Daphnia pulex: one gene and its partner. The protein of the gene in region 1 interacts with the protein of each later gene in a pairwise test. Links are inferred from orthologs where the notes say so. Each region holds a gene or a part of one and is shown in the gene's direction. Other genes may lie near its edges. The genes, in order: casein kinase II subunit beta and RING-box protein 2-like.

Region 1 (4,151 bases):
TTATGTAAAGAAATGATAAATACTAATACTTGTTCGGAATCACTATTATCATCTGCCACGATTGCTCCACTGAGGGGTAAAATGGGCTGACCAAGTTTAGCAATTCTGTAGTTTAGAAACAATCAAATATGTTTGCATAATACTTGGAATTATTTAACATTTACTTGCATTACCGAGATATAAGTTTGGTTTTGTTACTATCTTGACTGAGTGTTTCATTTGCAATAGGGTTTGTTAATGGGCCATCTATTCTATCAATGGAAGACGCTTCTGCAGATGATGGCTTATTCATGTGTCCAGCCAAAACATTTTTCATTTTATCAATCTACAAGTAATGTCAAATACATTTAAATTATAGTGAATCACATATTGCTTACACTTAACAATTATTTAATACCTCTCCAAGAAATTTCTGAGCAACTTCTTTGGAATCAAACAGAATTGCCCAGTTTTGCATGTGGTCATCATAAAATGTACAGAAGTTGTTTGGTTGACTCTGCAACAAAACAGTGGAGAAACATTATTTAAGTTTAAATAGTAGTGTAAATAATCCCCCCCATCCACAAAAAAAATTGTACTTACAATTATGGTAAATTCTGAGGTGACCCTTACACTTGCTAGTGGTTTCTGCTTATTTTGGTAAAGGATTATCTGATAAGTTTTATTACTTTCATTTTCTTCCAATAAGGCTAATCCTATTTTTCCAGGAAGTGGTTCATATTTTTCATTATTTCTGGAAATGATAAACAGGAGAATAAAATAAATTAATTCTTTGATTTGGCTTTCCTCCTTACAGTTTATAACATGTGACAGCAGCTGCAGCAATAACTGCTTGGGACATGCCCTTTGTGGTTGGAAGTGTACTACTTGGAGGTTGTTTAGGTGCCGTATAGATTAATGACTTTGAATTGGATTGGTGGATCCCCGAATCGTGAAATATTGATGCTAAATTAGAACTAAAATAGCGATTTAGTGTTATAATTTTTTATATCATGAACATCTATTCCTAATAGAAATGACTTAAGAATGATATTACTTAATTGAAATTGAGCCAAAGTCATCATCTTCTTCATTTGAAAAACCGAATGACATTTTCACAACATTGAGTAGAGTTGATAACGCTTCACGGCGGATATATATATTCTATTATCGTTTACTGAATGAAAATCAATAGATGGCGTTGAAAAGATTACAGACAAGATTACGATGGAATTTCCGAATAAATAAACAAAAAAAGCCATCTAGCGGCTAATATTTACTGGAAATAAATAAGAAGAGACATTGAAAAGCAACGTACTACCTACTAGGCCTACTTCATTTCTTTATATTTTCTATATTATATTTTCTTCCTTCAAATTGTGTGATTCTAAGGAATGGGTTCTCTTTAATCATGTTTTTTATAAGAAAACTTCGCGCTTTCACCACATAATCATGAATTCATAAGGAATTACTTGTACTGCACACACACTTCTTCTTGTTACTAATAGATGTCACCTTACAGAAAAAAGCCTGTGTAGAAATAAGGCCCTAGGAGAAAACGAGATCGACTTCGCACACATATTTGTTAGGGTGGCGAACAGAGGCTTGAAGAGGTAAGATTTATTGAATTTCAACTGTTATGTTTACGATTAATTGTATTCAATTTTGACTTGGAAAATATTCAACGAAACAGGAGGGGTCATAGTGTACACGGGTATGGTAATTTCGTCGATTCAGCAATTTTTTTAGTGAGAGTCTACATAAGAATGAGAATGGTGACTTGGGGAGAGTTTACATTACGTGTTCTGAAGGGAGAGGTGTGCACAGTTTGCACACGCTGAAGGCTAGACAGGGAGAGAGGGCGCGCATTGCAATCAGTAAACTGATGAGTAGAAATCATTGATTTTTGGATTTGTGAACTACATCAACGGCTTTGTTAAACGAATTACATCACGTTTTGACACAAATTTTCTCACCCATAGAAAAATGAGCAGCTCCGAAGAAGTTTCGTGGATCTCCTGGTTTTGTGGCCTACGTGGAAATGAATTCTTCTGTGAGGTAAGATAAAATTAAAATTAAATTTGATGTGATAGGTCAAAACATATTAGAGCACTTAATATTTCAATCAGTTGATCAGAAAGTGGTAGAATTTGACTGATGAAAATCACAGAATTTTCTTTGGATTTTGCTATAACAAGTGCATTTGATTCATTAAGACTTGGAAAGGAATAATTGTAATTTCAAATTTAAACAATTAATCTAAGCATATTTTGTAATTGCTCAACAGGTTGATGAAGATTATATCCAAGACAAGTTTAATTTAACTGGACTGAATGAACAAGTACCACACTATCGGCAGGCACTTGATATGATTTTGGACCTAGAGCCAGGTATAAATAACCAATTGAATTCTTTCATTCATATTCTTAGTGTAAATCATTTATCCAGTATTTTTCATTTAAGATGATGATGTTGAAGACAACCCCAATCAGTCTGATTTGATAGAACAAGCTGCTGAAATGCTTTATGGGTTGATTCATGCTAGATACATTTTAACAAATCGTGGAATTCTACAAATGCTTGAAAAGTATCATGCTGGAGATTTTGGTCATTGCCCAAGAGTATACTGTGAGAATCAACTGATGTTGCCAATTGGTAATATAAAAAAATATGATTTTATTTGTTATTACTATATATTTTACTATTTATTATATTTTTAACTTTCACTAGAAATTTATCTTTTATCTTGAAATATTTTTGGGTTCTCCTTCTCAGGCCTATCAGATGTTCCAGGGGAAGCTATGGTGAAGCTTTATTGTCCAAAATGTATGGACGTCTATACCCCTAAATCCTCCCGTCATCACCACACTGATGGAGCGTACTTTGGGACAGGATTCCCCCACATGCTCTTCATGGTTCACCCTGAATATAGACCGAAAAAACCAACCAATCAATTTGTCCCACGACTTTATGGCTTTAAAATTCATCCGTTGGCCTATCAGATCCAACAACAGGGCGCTTCTAATTTTAAAGTTCCGATGCGTACTGTAAGCTACAACAACGGGAGAAAATGAAACTGAATCTGCTTATTCGCCACTTATTCATTCAATGTTACCATTTAGCATAGGCGACGTTCAGAAATTATGTACTGCGATTTTTGGCTTATTTTTTTTACCCCCTCCTCCCCCTCTTGTCAGATTGTCACAAAAGCCCCAACTCTAACAAAAACGTAACGTTTGCCGACCCCCATCCCCTATTTTCTGGAACTTAATAAAAAACTGAATGAAAATTGAATTAAAGTTGGTGCCTACATTTGGTTCCATTAGTTAAGCGCTTAATTGATTGGTGTTTCTCGTATCAGCCTATTCCTTCATTTGTGCTGTTCGTTTTTATGGTGAAAAGGTCGCAACACAAGCTGAAGAGATATTATGTCATGGTGCGTCAAGAGTGTCTCAACCCGGAATCCCATTCGTTTCTCGAAACCCATCTATTTCTTTATGTTCCGTACTACGAATCTACTGCATAACTTTTGAACGTCGCCATAGCAACTCAATACCCTTTTGATTGGTTACATGATTAACCCGAGCTGTACAACAAATTTGATGGAAACAAAAGATAATGAATTTTTTTCTTGATATGTTATGTACTTTATTTGTCAGATATTTAGTTATCTTAACACTTATGCTTCAAATCTACGTCAGGAAAAAGACGTAGGATGTTATTATAACCGTACAATGTTATAGAAAAAAAAGGCCCAAAAACCTAATAAGCTTGTTAGCTCCAGTGTATAGGAAATTCACTACGCGGTGTTAAGTTACTTGGAATTCTATTAAGTTTATTTTACTTTTTTGTTTGATGAGATTTGTCAGATGAATAGACCTTTTTCACAATGCGGAAAGTCGGGATTTTACAATCCGGCAACGCCGCAATCGGCCATCTTTGTTCTAATTAATTTTTCCCCGTGTAAATTCCCATAAGGAATCGGGGTCCCTTTACTTTTAATTCATTTTCTACTTATTGGTGTCTTAAATCAAATATATTTCTCGTGGATCTTGTTCCCCGAATAACTGGTAACATTTTCATGTATGGTAAGTATTACTTGTGGCTTATATTAATTATGTAATTTGAACTTTCATTAGGTTGTTTTGATTCTGGAATGTCAAAACCAAAAC
Region 2 (3,741 bases), on another chromosome or scaffold:
CGAGTCAGCTGGCATGATTGGATTCAGAGCAATCAACGATTCGCTGACGACCATTGAAGTGGAAGGTATAGCTAACGGGTCTTTTGAATCGGAATTGTTGAGTCGAGCTTGAGCCAACGTTTCAGCCAGCTGTTGGTAAACTACGGAAGTTTGATCGACAGTGGCTTCGCAGCTGGAACAGGAATAGGATCCAGTGGAATTGTCATCTTTAATCCACCGGTAACTTGAGGGTGAATCGGTGCCCGTGGAACTCAAGTCGCACCCACTGTCTCTGTTTCTAGTTTCACGCTTTTCGGCGGCCAGCATGATGGCGTGAATTTTACTGCTGTCTGATTCCATTTGGCAGTTTTGTCTATCTTCGGCAACAGCTTCGATATCGCACCAAATTGAAGGTTGCTGACCTAGTACCGTAGACATCTTTGGGGAGTTTTCTTTCACCTCCTAATCCACGTACGCTCTTGGACTCTCTGCAAGGTCGAAAAGTAAAGAAATAGGGTCAGCGATTAGAAACTGGGTTTCTCCAAAATCGCAAGAGAATCGGGTTTTTCCAGTTAAAACACATTTAATAATATGAGATTAATTAAAAAGTCATTTTAAACAATCACGCCTCCTTTTAAACGAATTAGTAACTAATTGTTAAAGCGCTTGGAATTTCAATCTTGCAACTTGTTAGACAATAGAATGGATTCGAGATTTAAAAATCTTAACACAGATGGTTTGGTTGTTTTAAGACAATCGAACGTCTTCACAAACATTTTACATAAATCGGAGTGTTATTTGACTTGGATTCCGCCGCTCGAGTAAACACAAAGTTACAAATAACAAAAAAAAAAAACAGAGTTTCAAAACACTAACTAAAATTAAACTTACAAATGCCTGGAGAAATAGAGGACGCCTTGAAGAGCTGTGTTGACGCAGGATTCGAGTGGATGTGTGTGATGAGCTAGTGGGGTCCGCATGTCTTTTTATACTTCTCAGCACGGCCTACCCTGCGCCGCTCGGTTTCTTCAAGTTTGTTTCATCCCTCCTTCTTTTTCATCTTCTATCGCGAGAAGTACGCTCAGCCTAACCACACGTCACATCGCCAACCCCCAAAATGTTTTTGACGAATCCTCTTTTTTCCGGTTTTTATTCCTACTGGGATCTTCGGCCTTTTTTTTTTAATCGATTTATTTTGGTTTTAAAATTAAATTAGGATTACGTCATAGTTTTCCACAGAAGGATCGCTATCCCCCAGACCCCCACTACTCCTGATTTCTATTCTGGTCGAAATCGCAATTTAAAATCAGACTCAAAAATAATTTTTCACACTCCATGAGTAGGTCAATATTGACTTTAACATAGTGAAAGTGAATTTTTAAGTTTAAGTGATGGTCTTTTGAGAGGGAGAAATTGAAAGGTTAATAACGTTCTCGGCCTAGTTTGAACCGGTCGAAAGCAGTTTGAGCAGGATTTTCTCCCCTTAATATATCAGGGGGTGGATAGGTTCTTATACAGGTAAGAAAGTTAAAAACCATAAATAGGTCTTTTGGGAGATTGTGGGCTTTCCAGCGTCGAAGTATATCGGAACCCCCTGTAGGCCTAAATGAGCCAACAAGATTTCATTAGTAACAAAATAAAAAAACCCACTCTGAATTTGCCAATAACTTCAACGTTATAAAAAGAGAAAACTGGCTCCACCTGCCGTAAATAATCGATAACACGACGTTGAACTTGACAAACTGACTTTCAATTGCTTTTGAGTATACTCTGTCTGGCTCTTGGGTTGATACCCTCCACATCTTTAGATAAGATTTTACATAGGGTGGTGTTTATCCCTTGGTATATTTCTTGTTGCCCCTTTTCCCCTTTTTGGCTTTCTTAAATATACAGGTCATAGGCATAAAAACATGGAGGGATGTTTATCGTCTTTCCACGGAGATGTGCTCCGTACCAGTTCTTTGCCTGGTACGGTGAAGGACGTGGTGGATTTCTCCCTTTTTAGTTGGAAATACGGTATCCCTCCCCCCAGAGTACCAGCCAAGATGACGCCCAAATAACCCAAGATCAAACCCCCTATTCCATAACCCGATTAACCTAAAGAAGAACAGGAATGAAGAGGAAGACAAAAATTCTTTTTTTCTTGGTTTTCTACATCTTTTTGGAACAATCGCCTTCGAGCGAGTTGTCGTTGTAACCTAACGGTATAAGAGAATATTTTTCGAGCTTCATATGAAAGACATAGTGGTGATGAAATGATATTGAGTAGTAACCATACAAAGCAGCGTGAACTTTGGTTCAAAGTCCAATGTTTAAGTGTTTTCCGGATCGAGTAACGCTAGAAGATGATGATAAATTAACAGAAAAATCGAGTAAAATGTTACAAGTTTAAATTTTAAAAGAGAAAGTCAACATTGAATTTCTTTTTTCCCTATTATGGAATTGTTTGGATAACAGGAAATTGAAGTCTAAAATGTTGTCCTAGTCCTTCGTTGGAAAAAGGATAGTCGAAGGTCGAAAGAGTGCAGTGAACGAGCCGCTCACGACCTCTCCCAACAAAGTGACGACATCGATAGCTCCGATAACCTTTTCTATTTTAAATTCTCAAAGCTGTTAGTTTTTTAAAAACTTTTCCAACCCCATTTACAACAAAGCGAGGAAAAGATAAAAATAATTTCTTTAATTTGTACTCAATTCAGATGCATGCCTACGTTGCCAGGCCGAAAATAGAAACGACAAGGAACAGGAGGAGTGTGTAGTCATCTGGGGCGAATGCAACCATTCATTTCACAACTGCTGCATGAAATTATGGGTAACATAATTGTTTATAATGTATTGTGCAAAATGAGTTAAACGTGATTTCTCGCCCTTTAATTCAGGTCAAGCAAAATAACCGCTGTCCTCTCTGTCAACAAGAGTGGTCCGTCCAACGAATTGGCAAATGAAGATCTTGATATTCGTGATTATAAAGTCACAAACACAATTCCAATCTTTTTTTTCATAATTGCTACTCATTAATACACGCAGTGTCGTCAATTTGTCTTTTTTTCACACGTGTATTTTTCCTTTTTTTTTTTAATGAAAGATTTTTCGGACTACTTGGGATGTTATTTTGTGTTATTTTCATTGATTGATCATCATGGGTTGTTAAAACAATCTATTCTGTTATTTTAATGCTTATTTTTAGGCTTCTGCGCTGTTAACGATTGAGGAACCAAGTCATCAATGCAGCTAAAGCTAGAGTCAAATGAGACAGAACTGCGCCTGCCACAGCGCTGTTGCAACGCATGCCGGAGTGGCTGAACGTGAATTTGACTTGATCCGGCGTATGGCAGTCTTTATCTGAATAAAAGGTAAAACAAATAACGTAATCATAGAAATCCTAAAGCATTTTTAAGTTAAAAATTTTAATTTGTACCTGCGCAGGGCAAATCGTCGTTAATGTTGGTGGGAGCAGCCGAAATGTAGATGTTTGAACACTGATCCGGTACCATTTTACCACACGGCTGCATGAATTTAAACTCGACGGTTTCACCGGCTTTCAATGCGGTCTTGCAGAGATCTCCGTTTCCTGGACGTTCCTTAGTGGTCGAAACGCAGAACCTTGCCATGCCGTACGTGCTCTTGAACTGTTAAATAGGGGCGGAACGCGTTACAAGTCAACACATTTAAGTACGTACTTGTTATCTCATTTGAAACTAAACAAGGAAAGGTAACTGACCCACAAGCGCAGTTCGTTGCTGCTGTAAAAACTTTCTGGGC

What was found.
Region 2: the proteins of casein kinase II subunit beta (region 1) and RING-box protein 2-like interact in a two-hybrid assay, tested with the Homo sapiens proteins (2 studies listed by BioGRID). The link is inferred for Daphnia pulex from reciprocal best matches to the Homo sapiens genes CSNK2B and RNF7.

The regions. Positions count from the first base shown.
Region 1 is NC_060025.1:6,072,986-6,077,136, reverse strand, and holds casein kinase II subunit beta, read left to right. Parts: upstream 1-1,452; 5' UTR 1,453-1,592; intron 1,593-1,623; exon of another isoform or gene 1,624-1,693; intron 1,694-1,961; 5' UTR 1,962-1,965; coding exon 1,966-2,037; intron 2,038-2,266; coding exon 2,267-2,369; intron 2,370-2,442; coding exon 2,443-2,634; intron 2,635-2,754; coding exon 2,755-3,053; 3' UTR 3,054-3,614; downstream 3,615-4,151. Other genes in the region: FK506-binding protein 15-like, read right to left, coding at 24-105, 174-325, 398-496, 583-733, 795-956, 1,037-1,092. UniProt on the Homo sapiens protein: Regulatory subunit of casein kinase II/CK2.
Region 2 is NC_060024.1:9,935,130-9,938,870, reverse strand, and holds the end of RING-box protein 2-like, read left to right. Parts: coding exon of another isoform or gene 1-417; exon of another isoform or gene 418-467; intron 468-870; exon of another isoform or gene 871-1,027; intron 1,028-2,678; coding exon 2,679-2,791; intron 2,792-2,858; coding exon 2,859-2,924; 3' UTR 2,925-3,015; downstream 3,016-3,741. Other genes in the region: facilitated trehalose transporter Tret1-2 homolog, read right to left, coding at 1-417; uncharacterized protein LOC124200065, read right to left, coding at 3,179-3,321, 3,398-3,608, 3,701-3,741. UniProt on the Homo sapiens protein: Catalytic component of multiple cullin-5-RING E3 ubiquitin-protein ligase complexes (ECS complexes), which mediate the ubiquitination and subsequent proteasomal degradation of target proteins.